3 linked regions of the Coturnix japonica genome follow. The protein of the gene in region 3 purifies or fractionates together with the protein of the main gene of each other region. This does not show direct contact. Links are inferred from orthologs where the notes say so. Each region holds a gene or a part of one and is shown on either strand. Other genes may lie near its edges. The genes, in order: GNL2, DHX33 and USP36.

The links.
Region 1: the proteins of USP36 (region 3) and GNL2 purify together in Homo sapiens (affinity purification with mass spectrometry; 3 studies listed by BioGRID and IntAct, with this or other methods). This does not show direct contact. The link is inferred for Coturnix japonica from reciprocal best matches to the Homo sapiens genes USP36 and GNL2.
Region 2: the proteins of USP36 (region 3) and DHX33 purify together in Homo sapiens (affinity purification with mass spectrometry; 5 studies listed by BioGRID and IntAct, counting the BioPlex papers as one, with this or other methods). This does not show direct contact. The link is inferred for Coturnix japonica from reciprocal best matches to the Homo sapiens genes USP36 and DHX33.

Annotation. Positions count from the first base shown.
Region 1 is NC_029538.1:3,325,770-3,331,825, forward strand, and holds part of GNL2 (nucleolar GTP-binding protein 2), read left to right. Parts: intron 1-95; coding exon 96-190; intron 191-345; coding exon 346-485; intron 486-1,558; coding exon 1,559-1,743; intron 1,744-2,132; coding exon 2,133-2,199; intron 2,200-3,415; coding exon 3,416-3,574; intron 3,575-4,120; coding exon 4,121-4,234; intron 4,235-4,499; coding exon 4,500-4,628; intron 4,629-5,000; coding exon 5,001-5,105; intron 5,106-5,216; coding exon 5,217-5,375; intron 5,376-5,524; coding exon 5,525-5,632; intron 5,633-5,913; coding exon 5,914-6,056. UniProt on the Homo sapiens protein: GTPase that associates with pre-60S ribosomal subunits in the nucleolus and is required for their nuclear export and maturation.
Region 2 is NC_029534.1:2,445,222-2,452,039, reverse strand, and holds the start of DHX33 (ATP-dependent RNA helicase DHX33), read right to left. Parts: upstream 4,001-6,818; 5' UTR 3,918-4,000; coding exon 3,779-3,917; intron 3,421-3,778; coding exon 3,260-3,420; intron 2,917-3,259; coding exon 2,689-2,916; intron 2,049-2,688; coding exon 1,878-2,048; intron 1,416-1,877; coding exon 1,230-1,415; intron 1,001-1,229; coding exon 889-1,000; intron 650-888; coding exon 490-649; intron 98-489; coding exon 9-97; intron 1-8. Other genes in the region: DERL2 (derlin-2), read right to left, coding at 4,794-4,899, 5,404-5,494, 5,737-5,932, 6,435-6,528. UniProt on the Homo sapiens protein: Implicated in nucleolar organization, ribosome biogenesis, protein synthesis and cytoplasmic dsRNA sensing. Stimulates RNA polymerase I transcription of the 47S precursor rRNA.
Region 3 is NC_029533.1:4,608,017-4,614,569, reverse strand, and holds the start of USP36 (ubiquitin carboxyl-terminal hydrolase 36), read left to right. Parts: upstream 1-2,503; 5' UTR 2,504-2,614; coding exon 2,615-2,617; intron 2,618-2,647; exon of another isoform or gene 2,648-2,752; intron 2,753-2,910; coding exon 2,911-3,175; intron 3,176-3,261; coding exon 3,262-3,474; intron 3,475-3,913; coding exon 3,914-4,024; intron 4,025-4,220; coding exon 4,221-4,323; intron 4,324-4,658; coding exon 4,659-4,726; intron 4,727-5,110; coding exon 5,111-5,181; intron 5,182-5,257; coding exon 5,258-5,340; intron 5,341-5,593; coding exon 5,594-5,705; intron 5,706-5,939; coding exon 5,940-6,080; intron 6,081-6,154; coding exon 6,155-6,255; intron 6,256-6,400; coding exon 6,401-6,530; intron 6,531-6,553. Other genes in the region: TIMP2 (metalloproteinase inhibitor 2), read left to right, coding at 391-491, 576-684, 779-903, 998-1,195. UniProt on the Homo sapiens protein: Deubiquitinase essential for the regulation of nucleolar structure and function. Required for cell and organism viability.

The sequences.
Region 1 (6,056 bases), on a different chromosome or scaffold from region 3:
TACTAAGGGGGTGAATAGTGGCTCTAGTGAATCAAAGTGCTATAGGCATGTATGGTTTCATTATGTATTTACATGCATTTTCATTCTTCACTTAGAAACAAACGTGGCAAAGTGATTAAACCTCTGCAGTATCAGTCGACAGTGGCACCAGGCACAGTTGCAAGAGTGGAACCAAATATTAAATGGTTCGGTGAGTTTTCTTTCAGGCTCTCCATTCAACAAGCTTGGATTGGTTGGTATTTTTTATTGCAGTTGAAGTATTGATATTTTCATGGTGTAATCTGAGTCTCTGAAGCAGTTAAAGGTGATGAATGGTGTAGATGTAGCCTTTATTCTTACACATAGGGAATACTCGTGTGGTCAAGCAGGCATCCCTGCAGAAGTTTCAAGAAGAAATGGAAACTGTCATGAAAGATCCATACAGAGTGGTCATGAAACAAAGCAAGTTACCTATGTCTCTTTTCCACGATCGGATTAAACCTCACGTGAGTGTCATTCATCTGCATTGGGTTAAGGCTGTTTTATGTGTTATATGTGGGAAACTGGCTACGTTTGGAGAAGCATTGGAGGAGGAATTGGGGCAAATATCTTGGAATGGGATATTTTTGAGGACACAATGCTGTGGATGTGATACAGAGGTTATGAAAGCAGTCTGGTTTGTGATGTCTATGGTATGGAATTCACATTTTCTCACAGGAAATCTACTTGAAAGCACTCTAGGTTAGAATATGGCATTTAAAATGACTATATATAAACTTGTCACCTTCTGTCCTAATGCTTCTAATGGCTGATGTGACAGTGCTGAGGAAGCATTGTTCTGTTAGCGTGTTTTCTCTCATGCACTGAATCTGCCTGAACTCAAATATGTGCTTTTTATCTTGAATCAGAAGTTCTGCGTGCTGCTTTCGTTTCAAGGCAAATTGAGTTTCAAGTGCCTAAAGCTTTAGTTATTACCAGTCTGCTTTCATAACCCCTGAAGTATTATTATTTTGGATTATCGTTAGATATTTTTCACATGGAAAGTTGCCACGTTTGTGTCATAAAAATGTTACCTAAATGAAGGGAAAAGTTACTGTAAACTAAAATAAGTGTTACAAAAACAAATGATTTCTTTCAGCTATGAACTGCTGCCGTTCCAAGAAAAGTTGGCATTCATTACAGGCTTCAAATTTTACAGTTTTGACTGTAATTATCCCTGACAAAAATCTGTGAATTTGGCGAGATTTGTGCACTTGTTAGAAAAATAAGGAATGATCAAAGATAGCAGCTGAATTTTCATCATTGCAGCCTTAATTACTTTGGACATCATTTATGCAGGAAGAAGTGAAGCATGGTTCTTTGGCAAGTGCAGCCTGGTTTGGTGCTTGTTAAATATCCGTGTTTGTGCTTCTCGAAATTAAGCTGCAGAACTCAAACACTGTTAGGAAAGTGCCTATGACTCTTGTTAGAGGTTACAGAGTTGCATTGCATTGAGATCTTGTAGGCTGCATGTCGTGAGAGATGGAATATTAGAGATTGTGGGTGTGTTTTCTTATTTTAACAACCCATCTTTCCATAGACCTCCAGAGTTCACATTCTTGACACAGAAACATTTGAAACAACATTTGGCCCCAAAGCACAGAGGAAAAGGCCAAACCTTGCTGCAAGTGATGTACAGTCCCTGCTGGAGAATGCTGAAGCCTCATCAGAATGTTACGATCAGGGCAAAGACAGAGACCTGGTCGTTGAAGACACTGGAGTAAGGTAGATAGGAAGGAGAAATTATTCTCTATTTACATTTCTTATACATCTTCATTCATTTAAAAAAGCGCATCTAGTTCCTCTATCGATGCTGTTACTGCCTGATTGACGAGTATGCAATGAGAAATAAGCTGAATTTGGCTGGATTTTATTTTAAGGCTGTTTCATCCCAATATATTTAACTGAACTCCTGCTTCCATGGGACCCTTCTGTCTTCATTGCTAATTCATTTCCTGTTGCATATCTGAAAATTTGTGAACTCAGATATTGGGTTAAATAAGGGACTGGGTCTAATCTCCTCTTTTCTCTGTAAATGGCTAACTGGCTTTAGAGAAGACAGCACTACAGCCCTGTTATTGTGGTTGTTGATGTCTCTGGTGATCCACTTCCAGGGATGAAGCACAAGAGGAAATATTTAAGAAAGGACAGTCAAAAAGAATTTGGGGTGAGCTGTACAAGGTAAGCAACACTTATAATTTGCAGCAGGTATTTGTCTGTATTTTAGCCTTTGTGAAGTCCGGTGCTGCAGCACAGCGTTGGAAATATTGTGTGACTCTGAAAAGCTCTCAGAACTGTACAGTTATGTCTGGCCATGTTAGGGAAGCTTTGATCTGCTGAATTTTCTGTAGAGCAAAGGTGTCTGTTCAGAGACATCCTTAGTGTATAATTCTCTTCCTTGTTTTCCTGTCGGCCTAACTGAACTGACTGATGTAAATCCATACACTCTTTTCTAGCATTGGACTGGTGTTGAACCAGACCATCAACTAGAACAGAAAGAAACAGTTGTAGAGTAGCAGGGAGATTCATTTTCAAGCTTCTAAGCTTGATTCTTGAGCTCTTGTCTCAGTGGAACATACATCCTTAAAATATATGATCCAAAGATGAGCTGGTAAAATGAACAATTCCTGGGGCTTTAGCACAAATAAACCAGTCAGATGCCCTTAAGTTTCTTTAGACTGAGGATGCATCGTGTTAATAAGATCTTCTTTGGGGTTCTCTGACCTTCCCCATGAGTTGCCACTGGTGCTAAAGGAATGAAGCCTGAGATTGAGTTAGATTTGTAAGTGCAGTTTGTTTGCTCTCAGTGACTGTTGTTAAACTGCTTGACTTGTCCCAAATTTCTGAATGTAGCTTAGAACTTTCTCATTTAGTCCTAGAAGTGCTGGGAATCATAGAGCAAAACAGATTTCAATAAGATTCTGCCAAAAATGCAGGAAATAGCTGTGAAACAAATTCTCTTGGCTTGAAGCAAGTCATGAAATGACAGCTCCCTGCTGTAGATTCTTAGTGGACTAACAGCAGGTTCCTACTTGGTTGTGTGTTTCATACTGATCCAGCAAACGCTCTTTATGTCCCGATCCTTTATAGAATGGATGAAGAACATTCTTTTTGCCCACTAAGGCAAATAACTTTACTGCTTGGTTGTAGTGTTTCCCTTCCCAAATGCTCCTAGAAGCTGCTCACAGCTCTCCAGCCTAAATTTGGAGGGGAGCAGGGAAGAGAGAGTAGAGATTGTTACAGGAAACTAACAGTCATTCCTAAAGGATGTAAGGTTTTATCCTATAACGATAAGAATTTAGAAGATTACTGTTTTATATTTTGGAAATGTGTATTATTTTCCTTCTGTGCGATATATGTGTATGTATGATATATATATATGTATTTCTTTTTCCAGGTGATAGACTCATCAGATGTTGTTGTTCAAGTTCTTGATGCCAGAGATCCTATGGGTACTCGCTCCCCTCATGTGGAATCTTATCTGAAAAAAGAGAAACACTGGAAGCATCTCATTTTTGTCCTGAACAAATGTGATCTTGTTCCTACCTGGGCTACTGTAAGCACAGCTTTGCCTCTTGTCCCTTGAATGTATTTTGTTCCTTTCATAGCCTCTAATTCTGTTGCCAGTCCTTGTTCTAGTCTCTTAAGGGCATAATGTAACTGGGTCAGTGGGAACTCTCTGCTTGCTTGCTGTAAAAGTAACAATTACCATTTAAATCAGTCCAAGTTTGGCTCAGTTGAGCAACAGTCACCAGCCACAAATTCTCTACTTCCTCTGTCTGGATTTAACTGTTCAGCTGATGTCTCCAGAGTATGCTAAATGTTAGTACGTTTAAGGTCCATGTCCACCACAGCTGGTCTGTTTTACATTGTTAAACTAATTAGCAATGAAGGCATTTAGGGGGAAATCATCTTTTTATGAAAACAATAGGCAGTGCTTTTAGCTATTGGGTTGATAAAATGCATCTAAGCTTCTTACGTGGCAACTTTTATAGATAGTTGTGTTATGTGACTCAAGTGAAGATGGTTTTTCTCACAATGAAATTGTTTCACTGCCTTTGCAGCACAGCATTCATAACTGAGCAGTGTTTTTCCTCTTTAGAAGCGCTGGGTTGCTGTCCTTTCCCAGGAATACCCAACACTTGCTTTTCACGCCAGCCTCACAAACCCTTTTGGCAAAGGTGCTTTCATACAGCTTTTAAGGCAGTTTGGAAAGGTAAAGAACAACTGTGGGGCTTTATATTGTTTGGGGTTGGGGTTAGTATGGGATTTATCTGTTTTAATGTGTGGGGTACAGTGCACTTTCACGTGGCCATTCTGTCAGCAAACAAGCTTCATTCTGTGGAAATGGAAAATACTTCCCCTGGACAGAGTATTTGAAGCAGCCTTTGCTTTTTTATACAACCAGAAGCTCCTAAAACTGCAATAGTAACTGTGTCATTTTCTATGAGGTATTAAAATGATGTGTCATTTCTTAACAGTTACACTCTGATAAGAAACAGATCAGTGTGGGTTTTATTGGATACCCAAACGTTGGCAAAAGCTCAGTGATCAACACGTTGCGGTCTAAGAAGGTCTGCAGTGTGGCTCCCATTGCAGGTGAAACTAAGGTAGGAAGGCGCTGCTCTTTTAAAGGTTAAAAAATAATATTATAAATATGCCACTGTGTTGTCAGAGGCAGAAAATATATAAAATGAGCTCATTAATGTTTCCAGGTCACTGAAGTTACACAAGCTGCATCACCCTGAGTCTGAGGGGTGGCTGATGAGCCAGGCGTTGTTCTGGAGTGCTGCTGCTCAAAAGCATTTCTGAGTTTCTATGTCTGTTGTGCAGTGCTGTGTGATCTGAACACTCAGCTGCACTGACTCAGTGTGTGCTAATGCCAAGTTTATGACTTCCGTATATTAAACCTGTGCATTTAAAAGCAGAACTAACAGTTGTGCATGAGAGGAGGTAACGTGGGGATCACTGATATCTTTCAGGTGTGGCAATACATTACTTTGATGAGGAGGATTTTTCTCATTGACTGCCCAGGGGTGGTGTATCCATCTGGAGACTCAGAAACAGACATTGTTCTGAAGGGAGTGGTATGTATCTGTGCTGTGTGCAGGGAAAATTCTTGCTGTTTTCACCATGGTGAGTTCAAAGAAGTGTCTGCACGCTTTCCAAAGGGTTGATACTTTACCATTCATTTTTAGGTTCAAGTTGAAAAGATTAAGAGCCCTGAAGATCACATTAGTGCGGTGCTGGAAAGAGCCAAGCCAGAGTACATCAGAAAGACATACAAAATTGATTTCTGGAAAGATACAGAAGATTTCCTTGAGAAGCTTGCTGCTAGGACTGGAAAACTACTAAAGGTTTGAGAGCATCCTGTATTTACAGGTTGGAAGAGCATGTGGGTTTGTTTCTGCACTGGAAGTGCGAAATACGTTTCAGTTGCAAAGAGATAATATAAAGATGGTATGCCCTGCAAACAAGGACAGAAACTGTTACTGAATTCTTTCAGGGTGGTGAGCCTGATCTGCAAACTGTCAGCAAGATGGTTCTCAATGACTGGCAGAGGGGCAGAATTCCGTTCTTTGTGAAGCCACCAAATGCAGAAGCAGCTGCTGAGGTAAGGATGTGAGGCTCGTGCCTCTTCTTGCATATTATTCCATTCTTCTAATGATACTCACTGATGCTTTTGCCAGAGCACCATGTAAATTGGGCTTTTCCTGACATGATTCAGAGCACCGGATAGCAAAGAACTCTTCCACAGAGATGTCTGAACTGTTTTGCAGTCATCCAACTAGTAGAAATGTCAGTAATTACCACGTTGTTAGTTATCTTAGGCTTCGTCCAAGGGGATGTTTGGACAGGCTGTGGATAATATATCCATTACGCCCTTTTTCCTAGCCACCCGCATCGGAAGGAGCAATGACATCAAGCCAATTTAATAATGAGAAGGAAATTTCTGAGTCTGTTGCATCAAATGTGGAGCCAACGGAAGAGAAGAAGAATGCAGACACTGAAATGAAGCAGCTCATGGCAAATGTTCG
Region 2 (6,818 bases), on a different chromosome or scaffold from region 3:
GCACTTACCAGGAGATGGTTTGGACATGAAGTCAAAGGTGAGTATGTTGGGAATCCTCAGGGCCAAGAGCTGAAGCAGCACACTGGCCAAGTTACACCTGCATAGGCAGAAAAAGACAACTGAGATTATTTCACCTTATAGGCAGATAACAGCATCAAACACCCAAAACTCTGAAGAAATCAGAGTCCTCAGATCTGTGCTCTAACTTGAAAGAGACTATTCCATGACTTCCTGAATGGGCAGACCCTGGAGCCTCATGTAGGGCCAAGCACCCACCCCACTGATGGACTCTCAAGTATTTTGCCAACTGCCCCAATGGACAACACGGAGATGACTCCTGGTGGAGCCTGTAGGAGTGGCACACCCCACATTATCTTAGCACCCAAGTGGGGGAGGTAATAATAGGCTGCTAGTTCGGACTGAAAGGAGAAACCCCCTGACCAGACCTTGCAGTTCTTTGACACTAATAGTTTCACCACATGTTCTCACCTCTGTATCTCAGGTATCGTCATTTTGTCAAACTTCTCAAACTCATCCTCCGTGTACAGCCGGTAGCAGACCCCGCTGTCCTCTCGCCCTGCTCTCCCCGTCCGTTGCCAGGCCTGGGCCTTTGACACTCGCTGGACTGCCAACACTTCCAGACCAATTTCTAAGTATGGAAAAGCACCATTTCTGTCAATGACGGCATAATACAGGACCTTGAAAAACATAAACTTGTTAACAAAAAACCCCAGGAGTTTCCTGTCCAACTACTGTACACGTCTGAAACCTGGGATGTTAATTTAGACAGCGCAGAGGGTGTTTTATACCAGCTGCCAATGGGACACATTGCTTCAAAAAACACAAACTTCTACAACAGCATCTCTATTGTTCCTTAACGTTCCTCACCAGGATTGTACTTCTTTGCTTTGACCATGCCTGTGTCCACAACATACTTTATACCCGAAATGGTGATGGAGGTTTCTGCGATGTTGGTGGAGAGGATCACTTTGCGGCAGCCCTATGAGGAAGAGCAAACTGTAGCAGTCAGAAGCCATCTCAGATTAGCTGCAGTAGACAAACAGCACTACCAGCATGGGTCAAGCCTTCATACTATTACAGCATGTTATAATCATGTACTATGTTTGCTATACAAGATTTTAAGTCCTGAAATTCGATGTTTTTTTTTTCCAAACATTCACACAATCAAACAGACAAACTGACTCTGATCGTCCATCACGTTCTCTCACCTTGGGGGCAGCCTGAAAGACTCGGAGTTGTTGAGAGTAGGGCAGAGAAGCATAAAGAGGCATCACCGTCATCTGCGGGCAGCCATCAGGGAGATGCTTGGCAATGTCTCGACAGGTTTTGGTCATTGCTTCAATCTCTTCCTGACCCGTTAGAAACACGAGGATGTCCTGAGAAGAGGGAGCTTCCTGGAGCCAGAGGGAAAAGCACAGGAGAAGTTATGATGGATTGGACAGGGAGTGAGAGCTGAGCTTGTGATATCAGCAAGTCTTGCAATATGTTGTCCTGTTAGCAAGTCAGCAAAGCATGTATGACAGAAAAGACACATCCTGTGCAAGGTGTGGAATAGCCTTACGATTCCAATGGATTCACCAATGGTAAAGGGTAAACAGCATTTTACAGTGTTGGGTTGTAACAAGGATGGAGAAATCACTCAAATTTACATATCCATCCAAAACATGCAAGGGAGAAAGCCAGCAAGCACCCGGATTCGAGTCAGAAAGCACAGAAAACTCAGGTGAGAGAAACATTTCATTATGAATTAACACCGGAGAACTTTGCATAGCAAAGCCTTCGCCACAGTAACCCAAGCACCCCCAGTTGACAATCTGTGGTACCAGGGAGGTGCAGACTTGATGAGATAACCATACCTGGTGGATCTGGAAGACTGACACCAGTGCTGCTTGGAGGTAATCGCTCTGAGGCTGTTTGGTGTAGAAGACCTGAATGGGATGTTGCCTGCCTTCTAAATAGAGAACAGGAGCTCCATTGAAGTACTGGGAGAACTGATCGACGTCCATCGTAGCTGACATGACAATCACCTACAGTGTGAGCATAAAATGGGTCAGCACAGCAGTTCACATCCAGCACGGGACTTATGGCCAGGACTAACCAATAGCCAACTTCCCAAGGCTGCAATGCAGACTCGGAACAGCAGAAAGCACACAGAGTTTGGGACGGTTCTTTGCTTGTGTAATACCAAAGCTGATGGCTTTAACAAGTGTGATACGCTGGTATGAGAAAATGAGTGAGAAGGCACAATAAAATTCTTTTTGGACATTTAATAAACAGAGCTGAGCATCCACAAAGCGAGGCTGCGCATCAGCCTGTTGAACAGACTGCAAGGATCATACCAGCAAGCAGGAATCATGCCTTCCCCATCAAAACCAAGGTGCATTCACGCAGCTCGGTGTATACTTGCACACTCCAAATCATGACCTGACACGTATGTCCCAGTACAAGCATATCGTAACAGCTGCACTAACAGAGAGAAAGCTCCTGTCTCCAAGACACTCTCAGCAACACACTGTAATTTGGCCACCCTGAACTATTCAGATTTAAAGGGATTCTTTAGGAAAGGAAAACACACAAGGCTAATGTTTGAAACACACTGTAAATTCCAGGTGTTGCTCATAAGGCACAGAGTCCCAGCCCCATCCCTGCCATCCCAGCTGAACGCACCTTTAGGGGCAGTTTGCCCAACTCTTTCCTTTTCTTTTGGGCAGCTTTCACCACTCCAAAGAGCACATCAGTATGGATCGTCCTCTCATGGGCTTCATCCAGGATGACAACGCTGTATTTCCGCAGGATGGGATCCCCAATGGCTTCACGAAGCAACATGCCATCCGTCAAAAACTTGATCCTAGTTTCATCAGACGTCAGGTCATCGAAGCGCACGGTGTAGCCAACCTAAGGAACAGATCATGACAGAAGATTTACTTTTCTCACTGCTGTTGTACCACAAAGGAGAACTACATAGTGCCACCAGCAGCCAGGCCGATGTGACACCCAAAGGGAGCTCCCAACACTGTAGCCCATTAGATTTTTCCTATTAACAGAACTCAAATAATCACCACGTAAAGAACTACAGTCAAACATGGGTTTCCCTGAGCCACAAAAGAAGCAGAAAGCCATTTTCCCCATTCAAGCATATTACTGAGGACCCTTAGGACTCAATTTTTTACCTTATCCATTCAATTAACCACACTGCAGCACTAAAACAGCTCCCTAAAGGCCCTGGGAAGGCACGTACCAGTTTCCCCAGCTCCGTCCTCTTTTCATCTGACACTCTGGTCGCTAAGGATATGGCTGCTACTCTGCGAGGCTGTGTCACAGCAATGATGCCCTGGCGGCCGATTCCTGCTTCGTAGAGGTACTGAGGGATCTGAGTGGTCTTTCCTGAGCCTGTTTCTCCTGCAGAACATCAAGGGAACAGAATCAGAACCGCAGGGATCGGAAGAGACCTCTAGGAATCGTGAAGTCCAACTCCCTGCTGCAGCCAGGCCCCTCGGTCGCTCGTTGTATGGGCGATGCTCCAGGCCCCATCATCTTTTGTAGCTGGATTCTCTCTAGGAGACCCTCGTTTTTTTTCAGCTGAGGAGCTCAGAACCGGGCAGAGAACATAGAAAACCCTGTTTTCCCATAGAGATCACCTTCAAACTAAAGGTCCCAACTCGTTTCTTACGGCAGCTCCCTCATGGCCGACACCTCACCTCACCTCACCACACAGCAGTCACCTCAGCACCGCATCCCTCCCTCCCCGGCCGCTCACCGATGAGCACGGCGCACTCCAGGCCCCGCAGCTGGCTGAGCAGCGGCCCCCGAGCCTGGAAGATGGGCAGATCGCGGCGCTGAGAGGCGGCTGGGGGCTGCGGGAGCCGGCGGGGAGCGGCGGGGGAGCCGGGCAGCATGGCGGCAACGCACCGTCAGCCGCCACACAGGGGCCGCCCGGCCGCCATCTTGTGGTGCCCGCCTACATACAGCGCGATGAGGGCGGGGCGATGGCTGAGAGGAGCCGCTATTCCATCTCTGCCTTCAGAATATAGGGCGATCATACTAATATTAACCAAAGAATCCAGAAAACGTTTTATTCAACTCATTATATGAGATATTTGAGCAGCTCCAGCTCCACACAGACCCTCTTTCCTGGTGCTCTGAGGAACGTGTGGACCCATGGAACCAAGCAGTCACAGCCTGTACCTGTATTCACACACAGCTACGTCCCAATAACACTACATTATGTTCAATCACATTATGTTCAATCGTGTATTTCTGACACTTCAAACAAGACCAGAGACATCATCATCTCAGACTAAAAACATTCACCACTGAAACAGGGACTTGTACTCTCACCCATCTTGAAGCTGTTTTATCCAAGAATAAAAAAGGAGTTTAAAAAAGGCTTTTTTTTTTGTTTTGTCCCCTGTAAAGTTCCCCATATCTTTTCCTGTATCAAATAACTTGGAAAAAAATGCTTTAGAAATCACTTCAAACAAGTACTCGTGGTCTTGTTAACCCAAGTTATGTAAATGGTTTCCAGTTTTAGGGTTTTTGGCTCCACTGGATTAACATTTGCATTCCCAGCACAATAAATTCCCTGGCTAAGGAAGACACTGGTAGCCTGGAAGTGTCTTGGATTAGACTTGCCATTTCATAAAGTGCTTGTATTCGAAACCATAGAGCTGATGAATGGTGTTCTTTCTGCGATGGAGAACGAGGGATTCCCCAGGACAGAACTCCAGGTTCATCTCTCCCAGCCGTTGCTGGGTTTTGGCACAGCCATCTCATTAGCCTCCAAGACGTTGACCTTCTCCCCATGCAAACCCCCCCGGCCGTTCTTCTGGTAAGGGATTGTAATTGGGATCATCTTCTGGTGTATCAAATATTGCTTTCCTGGAAAGCAGAAAGACACATTTAATAATGAAATCCAGACCACTCCAATTCCACACACATACATCAACAGAGTCGGAGCAGTGCTCAGTAATATAAACAACACCACCTCCTGCCAAAGTTGTGAAATTAGGATGTTTATCAGACAAAAAATAGCTGTATTTCACTTAATAGTTATCCTGTTCATACACAGCTGGATTCTTATTCCTCACGTGCACTTTTGGTGCCACCAACAGGCAGAAGTTGGTAAAGGCTACTAAGGATTAACAAATCAAGGACTACACAAACCCCTCAGCCCTTCCCCTAAATATGAAAGCTCCCACTCACACACTTGACACAATCCCCCCCCTTGTTTGGCAACACACAAGTCAGATACAGAAGTACAGACACAGCGCAGCTCTGACTCGAATTCCCTTGCTTACTAGAAGTCACTTAGTTTGAGTTATCCAGCATTTTCCACACAAGCACTGTTTCTTTATCTGTTCCAAACCAGAAAGCAATACTTACAGGACAGATGGTGTTCTCAGCAGCCTTCCACCACCAGGCTGATTGGGAAAGACGTCCTCTAAGAAAAAATATATATGCCCGACTGCAATGCCTAGTACATGAACAAATACCAAATGGTTACTTCCCAATCCATACTTCTTTACAGCTCACAGATACTTAACAAGAATTTTCAGGGGTAAAAAACAACCAAACATACTGTTCTTCACAGAAAATATAATGAAGTTTAGAAATACAAAACCCAATGAAACACACCTTATGAATCAACCTTAAGGGTTTGGTTTCTCCCCCCATGTTTCTTGCTCCATTAGCTTTATGATTCTTCAAGCTCCTTACCTAGGAGATCCACGATGATGGAGTTCCCCAAAAGCAGCGAAAAGCCCATCAGTACCCAAGGTAGAAACGGAGCTTGGAAGATGAGAAGCCCAAAGAAGTTCATACGGACGTAGGGATTCCTGCGGCTCCATACGTACACAAGCATTATTGTGAACGCCTGACCCAAGAAAACCAAGTTCACAAACAGGCCAAAGATCTCCAACGGGAAGTTAAAGAAAGTCACCAAATAATAGTTTGAGGTCAAGCAATAAGAATCAGACAGCTTGATCTATAACCCCACGCTTTTCATACAATTCTTCTTTCCCAGGGTCAAGTAAACCACGCTTATGGTCAATCAAATCCAGCACCTGTGGGCAGGATGCAGCACACCCAGAGCGTGAATAAACACTTAAAATTCAGCATGAAAACACTGAAGCAAAAGCATTTATGAGATAACCTAGGCATGATTATCCACCTGAGTAGTCCCCTCATCTACTTCCATAACTCTGTCAAGCAGCAAAAAGAAAGATCAGCCGAACATCTAATAGAAGTGACAGACACAAAGTCAAGCACTTAAAATACTACTGCTTCTCATGCTACAAGAAAAATGCTGTCATCTAATAACTAAGTGACATGACACTCAGACAGCATAGTCTGAGTTCTCTTTCATCTATCACCTGCTTCACTACAGTGTTTTGGAATAAAACCAGAAAGGATACAGTCATTAAGAGTCCTCCAAAAAGGAACATAAATACAAAATCTGCCGTCCGACCTCGAAAAGAACCTTCTTCAAGCATCCGGCAGTAACGGTATCTGAAGTCACAGGTCAGGGAAATGTGACAACAAATGAGTTTAGAGAAAGATCCAATGGGAAAAGGCTGCATTGATATGAACTGTGCATTGAAGCTCGTGCATCAGTTCAGTTCATTAACTGACTCATCCTGTGTGCCTCAGCAGAGTGGCCATAGAACACATAATACACAGTATAGTATAGAAAATATATATATAAATATAATATAGAAATATTACTAGGAATTTCCTCCTGGATTTCACATCCAAGCAGCTGCACATCCCCTGGAGGATCAGACTTGCACAACAGATTC
Region 3 (6,553 bases):
GCTTTTGTGCCTGCATGATGTGGAGGCTCCATGTGCCAATAGCCAGTGGCTGGCAGGGAGCTGTGGCCAGGCACCTCTGTGATTGCATGGTGCAAAGGCAGTGGGCACCGGGTAGGTCGGCCCTGTATTGGGTACTGGGGGCTCCTTTCTATACCCAGAGGTGAGCTCCACTGCCCTTGGGTCTCTCCATTGTGCTGGGCATTGCAGGCACTGGGCTGGGATGTGAATTAATTAATGGTGGTGGACAAATAGTGCTCCCAGGATGCTGATAATGGGGAGTGGCCATGCTGTCCCTCTGTGGGTTAGGCTACCAGCTGGGGAGATATGGGGCTGGGGGGGGCTGTGCTCTTGCCCCCAGCGCCTGCCCATCTCCATGCCTTTCCCTTGCAGTGATCCGAGCAAAGGCCGTCTCTGCAAAGGAGGTGGATTCGGGGAATGACATTTATGGGAACCCCATCAAGCGAATCCAGTATGAAGTGAAGCAGATCAAGGTATGGAGTGGGCACCTTTGGGATGGGCACCGTGGGGTGGGTGGGGGTTGGGTGTTGCTGCTCACACCTGCACTCTGTCCTCAGATGTTTAAGGGCCCCGACCAGGACATCGAATTCATCTACACGGCGCCATCCACAGCAGTGTGTGGGCAGCCACTGGACACAGGAGGCAAGAAGGAGTACCTGATTGCAGGTAGGAATGGGCACTGACCCACATCCAAGGGGGGGTTGGACCCAGCAGCCCCCAGGTGTGTGTGTGTGAGTGGCTTTATGTGGCCTCTCCCCAGGCAAATCGGAGGGCGATGGCAAGATGCACATCACGCTGTGTGACCTGGTTGCCACCTGGGACTCACTGAGCCCTACCCAGAAGAAGAGCCTCAACCAGAGGTACCAGATGGGCTGTGAGTGCAAGGTGAGTGCCCTGACCCAGGACCCACACCTGGGGCATCCCTATGGGTAGGTGGGGGGCTGTAGGGACGGGTGCTGACCAGCTCTACCCTGTGCAGATCTCACGCTGCCTCTCCATCCCGTGCTTCGTCTCCTCCTCGGATGAGTGCCTCTGGACAGACTGGGCGATGGAGAAGATCGTGGGCGGGCGGCAGGCCAAGCACTACGCCTGCATCAAGAGGAGCGACGGCTCATGCGCCTGGTACCGCGGCATGGCCCCCCCCAAGCAGGAGTTTCTCGACATCGAGGACCCCTAAGCCAACCGAGTGCATTCCAGTAGCCAGTAGGAAAGCCCAGCGAGATGTTAGACTGGTCCACGCTGACATCGGGGCCTGGAGACAGCATGAAAACCCACACAGCCCCGAGGGGCCGCAGGGCATGGAGCTGCCGTGTGTGCATGGGGCGGGGGGGGGGCTCACTGCAACCGTGCATACCCTGCAATACCTGCACCCTGCGACCCCATTCCCTGCAGGCTGAATGCTGATGAGCTGCCCTCGGTCTGCAGGGGCACAGCTGCCAACTGGAGCTACCCAGCACCAGCACCGTGCCGTCCTCCATCCCATCCCTTGCTGTGGGGTGCCAGAAGGGTGCAGCTTGGCACCAGCTGCTCCCACCTGCAGGAGCCATGGGGCTCTCACCCACTGTAGCCCTTAGGGGCCGAATGGGGTTCACCCCTCGGAGGAGAGGGGGATGGCTGCAGGACACCGACCCCACACCCCCCCTCTCTGAGCCATTTCCCCATACACACGGCCGGCCCCAGCTCGGGGTATTTCATGCTGTACATCCCCATAGGGTGACGATGTGGCTCTGGACCAGTCTGGGCAACTTGAAGGTGTTAAAAGAAACAGTGAAAGAAAGGAAAGAAAAAAAAAAAACAAGAAAAAAAAGAAAAAAAAAGAAAAAAAACAACCCCAACCAACCCCACCCAGCCTCTAATCAGTCCCATATAGGACTCCCGTTCGCTTCTGTATGGTTATATCATATGTGCCATTTACTCCTGTCTCTGCTGGTAGCCTGTCTCTGAGTTTAATACCCCCCACTGTTCTGCCATCAGCTCTATCATTCCCGTGCTGTGATTATTTTGTCGTTTGTTTGGTTTATTGTTTATTTTTGTCGGGGGTTTTTGGGTTTGATTTCGGGGTTTTATTTCCCCCTTTAGGCGTTAGAATTGCACTTATTTTTCTAAAGGGGCTCCACAGTGGGGCAAAAAGGGGGGGGTTGGGGGGGGGGGGGGAATGATGGAGGGGCTGTGGGGCAGCGCTGGGGCAGGCCCCAACCCCCGGCCCCCCCTAAAGCCCCCCCTTGGAGCCGCTTTAATTTATGGCCGTGGCTCTGCTTTGGGGTCAGCAGCTCGATGTGGTGTTTAAAAAAAGGAGGGGAAAAAAAAGAGGTTAAAAAAAAAGAGACAAAAAAGTTTACGTATAGTTATTTTCAGATCTCTGCTTGATAAGTATTAAAGTCAGATGTATCTAACGTGCTGCCGTGATTTAAAGCTGGGCTTGGGGGGTGGGTTTTTCTTGTTTTTTTGGGGGGGGGCGTGGCCATGTGATTATAGGGGCGTGCTTTGCGTTAGACCCTGCCCCCATAATGGGGGTGGTGCGGAAGTGGTTCGTGTCGGCGGCGCCACGCGGGAGCCGCCCATTGAAGGCGGTGACACGTGCGTGGACGGGACCCGGATGGTGCGTGTGGACCGGGCCGGGCCGGGGGGACGGGGCTGGGTGTACGGCGGGTGGTTCGGGGGGGGCGGGGGAGGTTCGGAGCCCGCGTGGTCTGTGCCGCATCTCTGCGCTGCGTGGGGCCGCTGCGGAGCGACGGTACCGGGCGGGGCGGCACGTGGTGGCGGGGCTCAAGGTCGCGGGTGGCGGTGGGGGCCGGGGATGGGGGAGAACGGAGCTAAATGGGGCTGAATGGGGCCGGATTCGGCCGCTCCTCGTGGCGCCCCCCGCTCACCCCCCCTCCGCCCATCCCCCAGCCCGGCCCCGCGATGCCGATCGTGGAGAAGCTGCGGGAGGCGCTGAAGCCGGGCCGCAAGGAGCCGAGCGAGGACGGGGAGCTGGGCCGGCTGCTGGCCGCCTCGGCCAAGAAGGTGCTGCTGCAAAGGATCGAGTTCGAGCCTGCGAGCCGTGGGCTGTCCGGGCAGCTGGAGCTGCTGCGGGGCAAGTACCGCCCGCTCAACGCCAGCACCGGGACCAACGCGCCCCGCCCGCCCCCACCGGAGGGGCCCAGCAGGAAGCACGGTGCGTGCCTCTCCCCAGGCAAATCGGAGTGTGTATATGGGGGGGGTCCCGGTGAAGCCCTCCGCTCACCGCCCTCCATCCCTCAGGAGGCGATCACGGACCCGGGGATGGTGTCCCCGCCCCGCAGAAGGTGCTGTTCCCCGCAGAGCGGCTCTCCTTGAAGTGGGAGCGTGTCCAGCGGGTGGGCGCCGGGCTGCACAACCTGGGCAATACCTGCTTCCTCAACGCCACCCTGCAGTGCCTCACCTACACGCCGCCCCTCGCCTGCTACCTGCTGTCCAAGGAGCACAGCCGTGCCTGTGAGTGGGGTGTGGGATAGTGCTGTAGGGCTGGGGGGGGGTTATATATGGGGGGAGGGCTGCCCTGGGCTGGGTTGGCCCCCAATGGCTGCAGAACTGCCTGGGGTGGTTCCTGGTGGCACGGCCCACAGCCTGTCGTCAGTGCCCCATTCATAAAGCTCAGCTCTGCCCTATATACAGACCTGCTGGCTTGTCTGGGAGGTGCTGGTGCCCTGTGTGCCACCCTTACAGATGGGTGTTCTCATCTGCAGCGTTATCTGTGACCTAGGCACTGCCAGCTGGTGTGTCATATGCTTGTCCTTGTCCCCTGGGCTGCACTGTGCTATAGCATTGAGCTCATGGGGAGGGCTGTGCTGCATGGCCACAGGGGTTCCCCTTCTCTCTCACCCCCTCCATCCCTCCTGCCTTTGTCCCCAGCGTCCTTTCTTCTCTCCTGCAGGTCACCAGGGAGGTTTCTGCATGATGTGCGTTATGCAGAACCACATGATCCAGGCTTTTGCCAACAGCGGCAACGCCATCAAGCCGGTGTCCTTCATCCGAGACCTCAAGAGTAAGGATGGGTCCTTCCACGCTGTGCTCCCCTGCTGTGACTCACGAGGCTGGGGCAGGTCCTGGCAGTGAGTGGCTCGGAGCTGATTCATGGAGGCTGAGCTGCCGCAGGACCACATGGGGCTGCCCCACAGCTTGGCTTTGGGGGGGGGCATAGAGGCTCTGTATGCAGGATTTGAGCCCTTTTTTCCCTGCAGAGATTGCCCGGCACTTTCGCTTTGGCAGCCAGGAGGATGCACACGAGTTCCTGCGTTACACCATCGATGCCATGCAGAAGGCCTGCCTGAGCGGCTGCACCAGGTACACACAGCTCTGAGTACTGGGGTACTGAGGCCATCTCTGCTCCATGATACAGCCCTGGGCTGTGCCCTGCTGTGGGGCTGAGACCCAGGGCACCAGCACTGCATCCACCTTCAGTGCAAGGCTCTGAGCTGCAGCTGGGAGCAACCATGCTTGGAGAGCATTGGGTACACACAGCCTGGTGCTCCCTGAGCTCAGGCACTGGGATCCACAAAACAGCAGAAGCACTGCATCTTCCCTGTCCTTATCACAGTCTGTGGTTGGTGCGGGACACAGGGGTGGCCTTTGCATTGTGGTGTGGAAGAGCAGTGATAGATGTGGTGTTTCTCTTCCAGGTTGGATCGCCAGACCCAGGCCACCACGCTGGTTCACCAGATCTTTGGTGGCTACCTGCGGTCCCGTGGTGAGTGCTGCTGCTGGGCTGCTGTTACCCCAACAGCTCTGCACTAAAAATCATTTGGGAAAATGGCCAAGCATGTGTAAATCACCCAAAGCTGTGCTTTGCCACTCCTGCCATGCCTGTGGGTCTTGGCTCCTGTTGTGGCAACACAGAAAGCTGTTGGCTGCGGGTCCTTGGCTCTTTGTCACTCATTGAAGGAACCAACGCTTGCAGCTGTTGAGCAACAATTGCTATGCCAGCAGCCTTCCTCCCTGCCAAGCTGCAAATGCCCAACAGAAATGTTGGTGCTGGCATCCCAGAGCCCAGACCCATAGAGGGGCAGCGCTGCAGCTGCTGAATGGCAGGTGCAGATGTAGCAGGGTGCACTCACTGCTCTTTCTTTTGCAGTGAAATGCTCCGTGTGTAAGAGTGTCTCAGATACCTACGACCCCTTCCTGGATGTGTCCTTGGAGATCAGGGTATGTCAGTGGGCACTGTGTTATGGTGTAGTGTGGACAGGTCACACATGCCCTGAGCTCTGCCCTGTCCTTGCAGCAAGCTGCAAACATCGTGCGGGCGCTGGAGCTGTTTGTGAAATCAGACATGCTGAGTGGGGAGAACGCCTACATGTGTGCCAGGTGAGGGGGGTCCCATGGTGTGGAGTAGCGGAAAGTAAGGTGGTACAGATGCAGCCCCAGCTGGGACGTGTGGCTGTGATAGAGCCGACCCCATTCCAGCTGTATGGCTGGGAGGGAAAGGCCTGGGCAGCAGCAGATGGTGGCCATGAGCTGATGCTTTCATTCAGTGCAATGGATTCCATGAGGTGTGTCCCAGCTGAGGGCAGTCACCTGGCTGTGGAGCAGCTTGGATAGCTGGAGCTCTTCTGTGTAGGTGCAAGAAGAAGGTACCAGCCAGCAAACGCTTCACCATCCACCGAGCCTCCAACGTCCTCACGCTCTCATTGAAGCGTTTTGCCAACTTCAGTGGAGGCAAAATCACAAAGGTGAGAATTGGGCAGTGCAGGGCTGGGGCTGTGCCACGGCTCATAGGGTTCCATTGCAGCATAAGGTCTGCTGCAGCCCGGTAGCCTTCCCCAGGCTGTGCTGCAGGGTCAGCACCTTCCTTGCTGCAGTCCTAGCCAGGGCTGAGCTGGGTGCCCTCTGGAGAGGGATCATAGGGTGGTTGGAGCTGCTTTTGCTCTAGTGGTAAAGACCCCTGAGCCATCCTCTCCCCGCAGGACGTGGGGTACCCTGAGTTCCTGAACATTCGCCCCTACATGTCTCAGAACAATGGTGATCCGGTCATGTATGGACTCTATGCAGTGCTGGTGCACTCGGGGTACAGCTGCCATGCAGGACACTACTATTGCTATGTGAAGGTGAGCCCTAGTAGCACCTTCTTGGGGTGCTGGTGCTGCTCTGGGCAGGGCCTGACCCCAAGCTCTGCTCCTAGGCCAGCAATGGGCAGTGGTACCAGATGAATGACTCCCTCGTGCACTGCAGCAACATCAAGGTGGTCCTCAATCAGCAGGCCTATGTGCTGTTCTACCTGAGGTGAGGTGCCCTGCGTTCCCTGCCCTTCAGCAGCTCCTGTGTATTCTGGCAGCATCAGTCTGGGTGGTTGGCACAAGGACATGGATGCTATGGGGTTTGCTGTCTCCAACCCTCCTGGCTGACATGTGTGCTTTGCTTTCCCCAGGATCCCTGGCCCTAGGAAGGGCTCAGAAGGGCCCATTGCCAAAGCCACCCCCAGCCATTCACCTGTTGTATCTGATCAGACCAAGAGAACCACAACCAACGGGCCCCTGCCAGCACCACTTCTGGGCCGGGTGAGGCTGAGGCGGGATGTGGG